3 linked regions of the Mus musculus genome follow. The protein of the gene in region 2 interacts with the protein of the main gene of each other region in a pairwise test. Links are inferred from orthologs where the notes say so. Each region holds a gene or a part of one and is shown on either strand. Other genes may lie near its edges.

Region 1 (4,000 bases), on a different chromosome or scaffold from region 2:
TTCTTTATTTTTTTTTCTTGTTACTTTGTCTTTTCAATGGTGCTTACACTTACAAAAAGAAAAAAATCATCTGGCGTTTGTAATGTGCATATTTCCCAAGGTTGCCCAAAAACATGAGAAAGATGCTAATGGGAGCATCCCAAGACCTTCGTGTGTGTGTGTGTGTGTGTGTGTGTGTGTGTGTGTGTGTGTGTGTGTGTCTCGCCTCCTCTTCTCTAAAAGAAAGGAGTCTTCCTTGAGTAGGAGCCCCTGACTGAGGCCATCTTAGGCTGGAGAGTCTGGTCTCATTGGCACTCCGGGATCCCACAGGCGCTGGGATTTTCTTCTGAGGGAACTTTCTGGAGCAGGTGGGTGTGCTTCCTATTGACACCTGTGCTCGCTGAAGAAGGGTTGAGTAGCCGAACGTAACTGCCTGTGGGCACCTTCCGATTCGAGGCTGATTCACAGCATTTTTGAGCTTCTCCTGAAGCTCTTAGGTCAACCTGTGCCCCTTTGCGGCAGGACAACTCATTTACTGAGCCTGGACATGAGGTACGTAGAGGCGTTCGAGTCGGACTCGGTAGACGAGCACTAGAGTGCCCTGCTAGATCTCAAAGAACGTGTAGGATTCCCGACGTGGTCCGGCGGGCGGGCGCAGCTCCCTCGGCCACGGTATGCGCCCCTTGGGGACCTGCAGAACTGCTGCCTCTCTGCTAATACCATCTTGCTCGAGGTGGTCACGTGCGGGCTACAGTGGCGCGCTTCGCCAGGGACGGATGGATCAGGGACTTCGCGGGGTCCCGAGCCGCTCTGTCCAGAAGCCCGAGGTGAGGTCTTTCTTTCCAGAATCCCAAGCAAGGCCAGGACGCGCCTCCGGAGCCCGAGGACGCCGTCTCCAAGCCGTTCTCCGTCCATGGCGCCGTCGGGGATCAGAGGCTCACGCCGCGACGCCCAGCGCCACGGCCTCGCGGGTGTCTTTCGGCGAGGTGCGGACAGGGGGACGCGAGCAAAGCGGCGGGTTATGGACCCGGGCCCGCGGACGCGTCGTCTCCCGTGCAGCTCCAGCTCCGCGAGCCGGTGGGCTTGGGGAGGCCGGGTCGGGAGTGCCACGCGCGCGAAGCGAGGGGCGCGGGTTGCCGGGAGGGAGGACCGCGGAGCTGGGGGAGGGAGTGGGGGGGCCGCGGGCGCATGCGCCTTGCGTCCGTGCCATATTGGAATGAGTCGGAGCGCGGAGCGCCGCCGCCGCCGCCTCCGCCGGAGCGCGGGTGCAGGGGGGCGGGGAGAGCTGCCGGCCGCCCCGCTCTGCCGGGCTCAGCAGGAAGGAGGGCGCGAGCAGCGCGAGCGGAAAAGGCGCCCCGCGCGGGCGAGCGCCAAGAAGGAAAGAAAGAAAACCGAGCGAGCGGGCGGGCGTGCGAGCGAGCGGGGAGAGCGAGCAAGCGCGCGCGCGAAAACTCCCGTCAGGTAAAAAAAGCGGGGCGGCCGGCTGGGCCTTCCCGCGCGGCGGCCTGAGGGGTGGTGCGGCGCCCTCCCAAAGAGGCCCAGCAACTTTGCCAGCGGGAAGCGCCGGGAGCCAGCGGGCAGCGAGCGCGCGATCTGAGGCGCCAACGGGCGGCGGCGGCGCGTTGGGCGGGGGGGACGACTGGAGTGGGTGGGGGGACGCGGCGCCCGCGCGCGCGGCCTGGCGCGGTCCCGAGGCTCGGCGCGTCGGCCGGCGGGGGCTGCGGGGACGCGCCCGGGCACCTCGCGGACGCGGCGGAGGCCGGCGGCGCCGGGAGAGAGAGAGAGAGAGGGAGAACGGGCGAGCGGCGCGCGTCAGCCCAGCTGGGCGCGAGAGGCCAAAGTGGCCGGGTGGCGGTAGCGGGCTCCCAACTTGCAGGCTCCGGTCCCCTGCCCCCATCGAGCGGCCTCCCGCCGAGCCCCCGCGGACCCGCCCCCCCGGGCTCGCTCCGGGCGGGGCGCGAACCCGCAGCCCGCGCGGCCGCTCAACTTCTCAGGGCCTAGGCGGCGGCGGCAGCGGCAGCAGCAGCAGCGGCGGCGGCGACAGCAAGCGCGGTGGCCGAGTCTGAGCCTCCACCGCAACCGGTGGCTCCGGCCTCTCAGGCGCTTCGCCTGGGGAGGCACCGCCGCCCGACCCCCTGCGCGGATCTGGGGAGCGTCCTGAGGCCGCTCGGCAGGTCCGTGACCGTTTCGTTTTCTGTTCCCAAGTCTTGTTTTGTTCGCTGTAAAGACGCTGGAGGGGCGAGCCCTGTGTCCTGGGAAGCAAGGCCTGCTCTTTGCGGAGCAGAAAAGCCTTGTGAGACTCGGGATAAATTCCCGCGGAAAGGATAGACGTCGTGTTAAGTTTCCCCCCCGAGATGCCAGCTGTTCGCGTGGGGTCTCAAACTAAGCTGTCAAAGCCAGGTCATCTTTAGAGCTTGCGGTGCAGTGGGGTGGGACGCGTCCTGTAGGGCTTTTTTTTTTTTTTTAACTTGGTGGGCGCTCTTCCCCGCGGGTCACTCACAGCAGTTACTGGCCCCAAGTGGTGTGTGTCTTGTGATTGCTGTATTCATCAAAAAGATCTGAAGGAAGTAACATGGAATTAGTCATTATCTGCGTATGGCCTCTCCTGAACCGCGATTTTTAAGATGTCATACTTTATTTCATCTGAAGCAAAATGAATGCTTTGAGCGTGTAACTGTTGTGTCAGCTGTCTAGATGGGGTGGAGGAGGAGGAACGTGTTTTCGTAAGTACACATTGGGGCCTGTTAACTCGCAGCAAATGAACTCTCTTAGGCCACAGGTAGAGTCAGAGTTCAGATTTGTTTGCAGTGTCAGGAACAGCCAGTTGGAACTAGAGGGACCTGAGAGAAGGAGCCAGTTGTGTTATAAGGTTATTACTCAGTTACCATTGGCGAGCCACTTTATCTTTGGGTAGGTGTCTTACCCAGTGTAGTTTTTTGTTTTTTGTTTTTGTTTTTTTTTATCTTCCTTATTATTTGCAAAAGTGGGATAAGTAGATCACCATGCTTTGGGTTCTAAAATTTGGAGACTTCTTAAAATGAGATTTTAAAAAAGTTTTGAAAGGTTCTATCTACATAAAATCACTCACAATATGTGTCTTTTTAAAAATAGATTGGAAAAAACATCTTGTTAGCTAAATCCAGAATAATTCTGTGGACTTTATTTGAACACAGACTTTTAAAGAAGGCATTTCAATATATTTAAGAAGTTACACCTTTCACAGTTTAACAATGAAATCGGGAAAGGACAGTTCGGCCTTGTTTTACATATGCATAAGTCTTGATGGCCATATACACATTAAGATACAGAACAGAGCATTTCCAGCCCTCCCCCCACCAAGGGATTCCTCTAATTGAGTAAACACCTGCCCTTTCCCTAAGGCAACCTCTGGCCTGACTTCTAACTCAACCAATGGATCTTGTCTGAAGCAGGACCCTTTAGAACGTGAAAGGGCAGTATTAACTATTGAAGGATAGCAGGTATCCTTGGAGATGTCATTTTGGTCCTGATGCTGTACTGGTGTAGGGTTCCAGTATCTACAGGGTCTTAAGACTATGACCTTTGGTCTTTGTGGTCAGAAGGACTCCCCCCCCCCCCCAAGACAGGATTTCTCTATATAGCCCTGGCTGTCCTGGAACTCACTCTGTAGACCAGGCTGGCCTCGAACTCAGAAATCCGCCTGCCTCTGTCTCCCGAGTGCTGGGATTAAAGGCATGCGCCACCACACCACTGCCCGGCTTCAGGAGGACATTTTTAACTGAGCAGTTTTTGGTGTGTTAGGATTGTGGTTTCTGGGGGTCTTTATGTTTATAGTCGTTATATTATTATATCATTTCCCATTTTGGGATACAGATTTGTAGAGAGTAGGTTTGAAGGAAGAAATTATGAATTTTTGAACAAGTTAAGAGTTAAAGGTGTCAGATGAATTAATTTTGTTAAGCTTAGAATTTGCAAAGACAATTGAATGAAAATTGATTTTTTTAAAAGTCTAGTGAATTCATAATATGGGTATACTGCTTTA
Region 2 (3,975 bases):
CAATTAAAAAAAAAAAAAAAAAAAAAGAGGGGCCTGGAGAGATGGCTCAGAGGTTAAGAGCACTGACTACTCTTCCAGAGGTCCTGAGTTCAATCCCAAGCAAACACATGGTGTTTCTGTCTGGTCCTGTCTCCCTCTCCACTCCCCTTACCCCTCCTCCTCTCTTAAGACTCAACCAAACTGAGTAGAATTCAGAGATCTGCATGCCTGTGTCTCCTGAGTGCTGGGATTAAAGGAATGTGCCACCACACCTGGAACTAAATTTCTTTACCTGAAACTTTCTCTGTACCATGCTGGCCTGGAACTCATGTCTGTACTCCCATCACTTATGATTGATTCCTTTCCAGAGCAGCCATGTTGCTGGATTAAAATTCCTCTACACAGCCGGGCAGTGGTGGCGCATGCCTTTAATCCCAGCACTTGGGAGGCAGAGGCAGGCAGATTTACAAGTTCGAGGCCAGCCTGGTCTACAGAGTGAGTTCCGGGACAGCCAGGGCAACACAGAGAAACCCTGTCTCAAAAAAAGACCAAAAAATCCTCTACGCAGATCTTTGAAAGAAAAATCAAAAACAAAAAAAAAAAAACCAAAACAAAACAAAAAACCAACCAAACAACAACAAAATCAGAATGATCCAGTCATCATGACGACACCTGTAATTTCTTGGGGTTTTTGGTGTTTTGTTTTTTGAGACAGTTTGTGTGTGCAGCCTTGGTTTTCCTGAAACTCCCTGTGTAGATGAGGCTGGCCGTGAATCCCATCAAGTGTTGGAATTAAAGATGTGGGCCATTACTTCCTGGCCTTTTTGGTTTTGTTTGGTTTGGTTTTGAGCTAGGGCCATAAGTTTTCCCAGGTTGGCCTCAAAAACATAGCAATCCTCTTGCCTCAGCCTCCAAAATCCTGGATTACAGGATTTTTTTTTTTTAGGATTTTTTGAATACTACAAAATTCCACTGCATATGTATTACAGACCCCTGGTTTGAGATCACCCTTCAAGACCCTATTCATACTGAACACACAAGCCCACATTAGAAAAGACAAACCAGCTAGTGGCCACCATTAGCCTCTTCTGAATTGAGCCCGTCTGGCCCCGCCCAGGACCGCAGAGGTTTCTAAGGACCCGCCCACCGGTGCTAGTTTCCCAAAAACCCGTGCGGCAGACTCCAGCCGCTCCAAGATGGCGACTCCCATGCATCGGCTCATAGCTCGAAGGAAAGCGTAAGTGAGATGCTTGTGGGGTGTGCAGGAGGGCTGGGGGCGTGCAGACGCCTGTCCGCTAGCTAGTGAGCGGGCGCAGGCTGCTGAACTGAGCGGGATTTGAAGAGAGTTCGAAATGAATCCAAGAATTGGTCGTTGGGTGGTCTGTGTTCCTCTGTCCGGTCCACATGTCAAGGGTAGCCTGGATGCTTGATCCCACATCTTCCCTCTCAAGATCCCAAACTTTTCCCTCTTCAGCGTACCTGCCTCCTTCCTATCGCCCTTTCTAGAAACAAGCCTGTCTGCAATGCCTATTAATTCCCCATCGACCGTTTCACTTTCTGCAGCTCTCACTGTAAATAATTATTTTAGTACAATCACTCACAGACAGTTTCTCTGAAGAAAAATGTATTCAAGCTACGCAGCTTAACAGTTTTATTGTGGAACCTGTTGATACTCTAAACAAGTACAGCTAGTGGTTTAAATAGCTTTGTAGGAGCCGGATGGTGATGGTACATCCAAGCATTCAGGAGGCAGAGGTAAGCAGATTTCAGAATTCGGGGCCAGCCTGGTCTACAGAGTGAGTTCCAGGACAGCCAAGGCTACACAGAGAAACCCTGTCTCTCTAAAAACAAAACAAAGTTAAGCTTTAAAGGGGATAAGAGGCTGTGGTGAGGAAAGGCAAAAGGCCCAGTTCAAGTCAGTTCTAGAAATTCATCTGTGAGGGGTGACATTTGAAAACAGACTAAAAGCCATAGAAAGGACTGAGTCAGCAGAGGATTTGGGGAAAGATAGGAAATGGTATATTTGCTATGAGTCTGTTAGAATTTGGGGGTGGGTTGGGCAGATTTAGAGACAGGATTTGTCTGTGTAGCCCTGGCTGTCCTGGAACTCACTCTGTAGACCAGGCTGACCTCGAACTCAAGATATCTGACTGCCTTCAGTATGCTGGGATTAAAAGCTTGTGCCACCATGCCCAGTTTGAATCTCAGTAACTATCAGTCCTGGTGGCAGATGCCTTTAATCCAAGCACTGGAGAAGCAAAATCAGGTGGAGTAGCACTGAGTCAAAGCCAGCCTGATCTAAAGAGCAAACTGCAGGCCAGCCTCAGCTGTGTAGGGAGACCCTGTCTCCGAAAAGAAAAAAAACCAACCAACTCAATAACTACCCATTCAGTGGTGTAAGCGATGTAAGGGGCGGAGACCAGTTACTTGAACATGAATTTGAGTCCAGCCTGGGCAACATAATAAGACTTCATCTTAAAACCCTCCAGTAATGTCATACCCACTCTGCATGGCTGTGTGACATGCATGTCATGTTGTATTTCTCAGACCTATCAAAAGTCATAATACGAACCTGAAAGGAAACAGTTTATACATCTAATACCTGCATTGCTTCGCACTTTGCTTTTGACCTAAGCTGTGGTTTATGAGTTTAAAACCCGAGTGTTGGGCCTGACGTTGGTGGATTGTGCTTTTGATCTAAGCACTCAGGAGGCAGAAGCAAGTGGGTCTGTGAGTTCAAGGCTAGGCCAAGCTGGGTATGGTGGCTCACACTTTTAATCCTAGTATTGTGTGGCAAGTGTCTTTAACCCACTGAGCTGTCTCACCACCACCATTTTTTATTAGTAAGTTAAAAAGAATGATAGCCAGGCACAGTGGCACATGCCAGCACTTGGGAGGCAGAGGTAGATCTATGAGTTTGAGGCCAGTATGGTCTATAGATGGAGTTCCAGGGAAAAAAATCAAAAGCAGAATCAACCAACCAAATGAACAAGCTTTTTCATTTATGTGTGAATAGGAGTAGAGGTCAGAGGACAAGTCGTTGGGGGTCAGATCTTTGGGCTTACAGCAAACACCTTATCCACCCACCCTTTTCCCAGCCTTAAAAGTGTTTTAATGGGTTAGGGGGTCTGGCTCAGTAGTAGAGCATTTGTGAAGGAGGCTCTGAGTTTGATATCTAGCATTACAACAAATAAGGACCTTCATTATCCTTTGTCTTCTGAGCTAAAAATGTTGGTCCGAATACATGATTATTGGAATGGAAAAACTTAAAAAAATTTTTTTTAAAGATTTATTTCTTTATTATATGTAAGTACATTGTAGCTGTCTTCAGACACTCCAGAAGAGGGAGTCAGATCTCGTTACGGATGGTTGTGAGCCACCATGTGGTTGCTGGGATTTGAACTCTGGACCTTCGGAAGAGCAGTCAGGTGCTCTAACCCACTGAGCCATCTCACCAGCCCAAAATTTTTGTTTTTATTATTTTGCTTTGTTGAGACAGGGTCTCTTGCTCTGTAGCTCAGGCTAACTTTAAACTCAGAGCCATCCTCCCACATTGGCCTGCAAAGTGAAAGACTATAAGCATGAAATACCGGACTGGGCTTAGAAGAGCAAGACTCAGTTCCTGTTGCGCCCCAGGTTGCACGCTTTGAACACCGTTTGTGTGCTTGCTAGAGTCAACATCACGTGATACTTTAATGCTCTTCCAGGTCAGAAAGTGTCCCAAGACAAAACTTAAGGCTTGTATTCTGTTATTTTCTTTGTAGTGAAGCCAATAAGCAACATGTAAGATGTCAGAAATGCTTGGAATTTGGACATTGGACTTATGAATGCAAAGGGAAAAGAAAGTACCTACACAGACCTTCGAGAACGGCAGAGCTGAAGAAAGCTTTAAAAGAAAAAGAAAATAGATTATTGCTGCAAAGGTAGGTTTACATGTAATATCCAGGGGAACTTATAAAAATATTTACAGAATCAGCTGACCTCAAGTTTGCTGTC
Region 3 (4,018 bases), on a different chromosome or scaffold from region 2:
TGCCAAGGGTGACCTTGAACTCAGGATCCTGTAAGCCCTATCTGCAAAGTGCTGGGGTTAGCTGGGCTTGGTGGCCCACACCTTTAACCCTAGCACTCGGGAGGCAGAGGCAGGTGGATTTCTGAGTTCGAGGCCAGCCTGGTCTACAAAGTGAGTTCCAGGACAGCCAGGGCTATACAGAGAAACTCTGTCTCGAAAAACCAAAAAAAAAAAATTCTGAGAGTTGTGGCTTGCTTTTGTTTTTCTAGCACCCGAGAGAGAGAGAGAGAGAGAGAGAGAGAGAGAGAGAGAGAGATATGGGATGACTGCTTTTCATCCAAAGTCAACCCAAGTCATACTGGTAGATTGTCTCAAAAACATCAAAACCAAAAATGAATTCACTTAGTTACCCAGAACAATGACATGAAACTATAACTGCACCATCTGCTGAACACATTGAAACCCTGTCTCTTATCTTTCTACAAAAAAAGAACCACAGGCTGTGGTTCTAGCAGCTGGCAACATTGAAGCCCAGGGCTGGGACTCAGCAGAACTTCCTCCTTTTGTTCTCTGAGGCCTTTTTTTGTTTGTTTGTTTTTGTTGTTATTTTCCGAGTCAGAGACAGGGCTGGTCTGTGTGGCTCTGGCTGTCTTGGAACTCACTATGCAGACCATGCTGGTTTCAAACTCAGAGATTCACCTGCCTCTGCCTCCTGAGTTCAGGGACTAAAGGTGTTGTGCCATCATGACAGAGCTCTCTCTGAGGTTTTATGTAGGGTTCCCTAAGAAGCTAATATTGTCTTTAAATTCTGATTCTCTTCCTCCATTTCCAAAATGCTAGGTTACAGACAAGTCTACCCATCAAGCAGGCACTTGGTGCACATACACTGAGGCAAAACACTCATACACATTAAAAAAAAAAATCTTAAAATTTAAGCAAAACAACAACAAAAAAAAACAGTGAGAGTTTATCTCGTTGGCTCAGGTCCTTGCTTGGAGCTGACCCCGCCTCGGTCCCGCCCTAAGGAGCATTTCCGCTGCGTCTCCGTATTTCACCTGTATGTATTTCACAACGCAATGTTTTCTCCCTAAGGCTCCGCCTGGCGGCCAGCGCAACGGTTTCCTCCTTGTTTAGTTGGACCACAGCGATTGACAAGTCAGTTCTCCAATCATCGTGTCAAAGTGATCACATAATTATTAACTAGGTCACAGGGGCGGTGCGGAAGTATAGAATGAATAGGAGTGACCAGGAAGTGCGAACCCAGACTGAGAAGGAGGACAGGAGCGGGCTGGCGATCTGGGAAGGTGACAGGGCATCTGGCCTCCCAAATTCCATCTCTCCTCTTAGCTGGGCCAGGGATCCATTTATTCCTGAGAACTAAGAACTCCATTTGCTCTTTGGGGGTTGTGTGTGTGTTCTAAGAGTTTTGGGACCTGGAGTGTCTTTCTTGATATTCAGGATGGGATTATTTGTTTGTTTATTTATTTATTTTTATTTATTTGTTTATTTTAGCTTCACTTCAGGGGTGCCCCCGGGGCGAGCAGGGAGTTTAGGTCCCATCTCACACTACGGATGCTTAAAGGCCTCCGGTCCCTTTCCAGGGAGAGGGAAATGAGACTTCTCCATCCAGGTGAGATAGTGAAAGTGGGAGGGGCCCTGGGAAGAGAGTTCCTGTGATTTAAATCCTGGGCTAGAGTAGGCTATGAGGATGCGGGAAAGAAAAAGGGAACTTTTTTTTTTGTTTTGTTTTTGTTTGTTTGTTTGTTTTTGTTATTTCGAGACAGGGTTTCTCTGTATAGCTCCAGCTGTCCTGGAACTTACTTTGTAGACCAGGCTGGCCTCATTCGCCTGCCTCTGCCTCCCAAGTGCTGGTATTAAAGGTGTGCACCCCCACGCCCAGCAGGGAACTTTTTTTCATTTCCTTTTGTTTTGGGTTTGACACAGGGTAGCTCTAGCTGTCCTGTAACTCTTTTTCGACCAGGCTGGTCTGGAACTCAGAGATCCACCTGCCTCTGTTTCCAGAGTGCAGCCCATTTTTAAGTGGAGGTTTATCTGTGAGAGTCTTGGTAGGGTGGAGGCTGTAGGGTGGGGCTCGGGTTCTCGAAAATCCTCCTCCCTTCCTGGAACCTTCAGACTTTGCCTGGTTTACTTCCTAGGCTTGAGCTAACATCTCGACATGTGGAATCCTAATGCTGGTAAGTTCCTGGGGGCTCTCCTCTGACCTGCCCCAGCCCATTTTGCAATGAAACAGGAAGTTTCTATCTATCCCCGCAGCCCCAAGCAAAAGCAAAGCCACCGGACCACTGCTAGTTACCAAGTTCTGCCTTTCCATAAGGCTTAAGAACGGTAGTGATTTGTATTATGTGTTGATAGAGGTTCCGGACAGTTCTAATCTTTATTCTCGGATTCTTCTTCCAGGACCGAATCCATATCCACCCCAAGTTGTGTGCCCAGGAGGTTCCAATCCTGCCTGTCCACCACCTCTCAATCCTGCCTTTCCCCCTGGCCCCTGTCCTCCCGGAATTCCCCAGGGAAACCCAGCTTTCCCTCCGTGTCGTCCCCCTTATCCTGTACCACAACCAGGGTGTCCAGGATACCAACCCTCAGGTCCCTACCCTCCCCCATACCCACCACCTGCTCCTGGCATGTGCCCCGTGAATCCTCCGGCTCCTGGCATGGTGGGTCCCGGAATCGTGATAGACAAGAAGACTCGGAAGAAAATGAAGAAAGCTCATAAGAAGTCGCACAAGCATCACAAGCACGGGAAGGTCAGTGTCATCTGGAGCCTGGCTGGGGAAGGAGCTCCGTTCAGAGGGACCAGGGGTGATCAGGAGTTGGGGAAGGACTTTCACGGTTTGTGGGCACAGGCGATGGTGTGTGGGAGCGGTAGCCCGCAACCTTGTCGCTTTAGCAGATGTAGATGGTTTTTCCTTTAAGTAAGGGGATCCTCCTGAAAGGAGTTTAGTAATATTGAGGCATCAGATCACTCCCATCTGCCAAGGAAAAGTGAAGGGGTGCGGGGAGGATTTCTGTGCCAAAAGCCCTCGACCTTCTTTACCTAACTCTTTCCCAGTAACTTCCCTCACCCACCCCGGGTGTATCCTTTGGTAAATTGGACACACCCACTGAGGTTGTCTAAATGTCAAAAGAGTGACAAAGCACAGTGACAAAGCATAATAGTTTACTGAGTGGTCATATGGCCCTTAGTTCCTGGATTTTCTTTATCTCCTTCAGTATTCCCTGGTACTGAGTTAATTCCCTGGACGAGCCTTCTGTGACTCAGCCTCCAGCAAAGCCTGGGGTGAAAGGGGATTTTCCTTCACAAGACCAGTACAGTCCTTCCACAGGAACCCATTAGTGAGGGGGGGAGTTCCCCTGAGGACTCAGGAAGACCTCAGTCTGAAACTTGAGGCTTCGAATAGACTTTATGCCCGTGTTTGTTTGCTCCGTGGATCTGGGCTCTAGTTCCTGAGTCTGGGTCTTAGGTAGACATGTGGGGAGTAGGGAAGGAAATGAGACACTAACCAGGGAGAGTACCCCGAGAGTCTAAAAACATTTTTTTTTTTTTTACGGTAGTTGATGGAGGTATGTCTGTGTGGATCCTGGGATGGGATTTCTCCAGCCATCTGTCTGTCTCTGCCATCTTCCCCACTTTTTCCCCTAGTGGGACTTAGAAATACAGCATGGCCCACACGGTGGCCGTTCCTACCCTCCCTGAGGTGCAGAGAGATTCTAGTTTGTCATTCTTTTTTTTTTTTTTTTTTTTTTTTTTTTTTCAACACAGGGTTTCTCTGTATAGCCCTGGCTGTCCTGGAACTCACTTTGTAGACCAGGTTGGCCTTGAACTCAAGAAATCCGCCGGCCTCTGCCTCTGGGTTTAAAGGCGTGCGCCACCACCTGGCTAGTTTGTCATTCCTTAAAACAAACAAGGAGGGATGATTAAGGTAGCAGCAGCCTCCCACACCCTGCTCCACTTTCCTGGTCCTAGCTAGGTGTGGAAACTTGGTTGGAAGGCAATGTGTTGAGGTTGAGGACAATT

The links. The genes of interacting proteins can lie anywhere in the genome.
Region 1: the proteins of Zcchc10 (region 2) and Sfmbt1 interact in binary tests that used the Homo sapiens proteins (3 or more experiments, as listed by UniProt). The two-hybrid records come from large-scale screens. The link is inferred for Mus musculus from reciprocal best matches to the Homo sapiens genes ZCCHC10 and SFMBT1.
Region 3: the proteins of Zcchc10 (region 2) and Prr13 interact in binary tests that used the Homo sapiens proteins (3 or more experiments, as listed by UniProt). The two-hybrid records come from large-scale screens. The link is inferred for Mus musculus from reciprocal best matches to the Homo sapiens genes ZCCHC10 and PRR13.

Annotation. Positions count from the first base shown.
Region 1 is NC_000080.6:30,714,436-30,718,435, forward strand, and holds the start of Sfmbt1 (scm-like with four MBT domains protein 1), read left to right. Parts: upstream 1-1,179; 5' UTR 1,180-1,440; intron 1,441-1,684; exon of another isoform or gene 1,685-2,153; intron 2,154-4,000. UniProt on the Homo sapiens protein: Histone-binding protein, which is part of various corepressor complexes. Mediates the recruitment of corepressor complexes to target genes, followed by chromatin compaction and repression of transcription.
Region 2 is NC_000077.6:53,323,526-53,327,500, forward strand, and holds the start of Zcchc10 (zinc finger CCHC domain-containing protein 10), read left to right. Parts: upstream 1-1,163; 5' UTR 1,164-1,175; coding exon 1,176-1,216; intron 1,217-3,743; coding exon 3,744-3,902; intron 3,903-3,975.
Region 3 is NC_000081.6:102,457,973-102,461,990, forward strand, and holds the start of Prr13 (proline-rich protein 13), read left to right. Parts: upstream 1-1,197; 5' UTR 1,198-1,283; intron 1,284-1,491; exon of another isoform or gene 1,492-1,609; intron 1,610-2,135; 5' UTR 2,136-2,155; coding exon 2,156-2,174; intron 2,175-2,397; coding exon 2,398-2,747; intron 2,748-4,018. UniProt on the Homo sapiens protein: Negatively regulates TSP1 expression at the level of transcription. This down-regulation was shown to reduce taxane-induced apoptosis.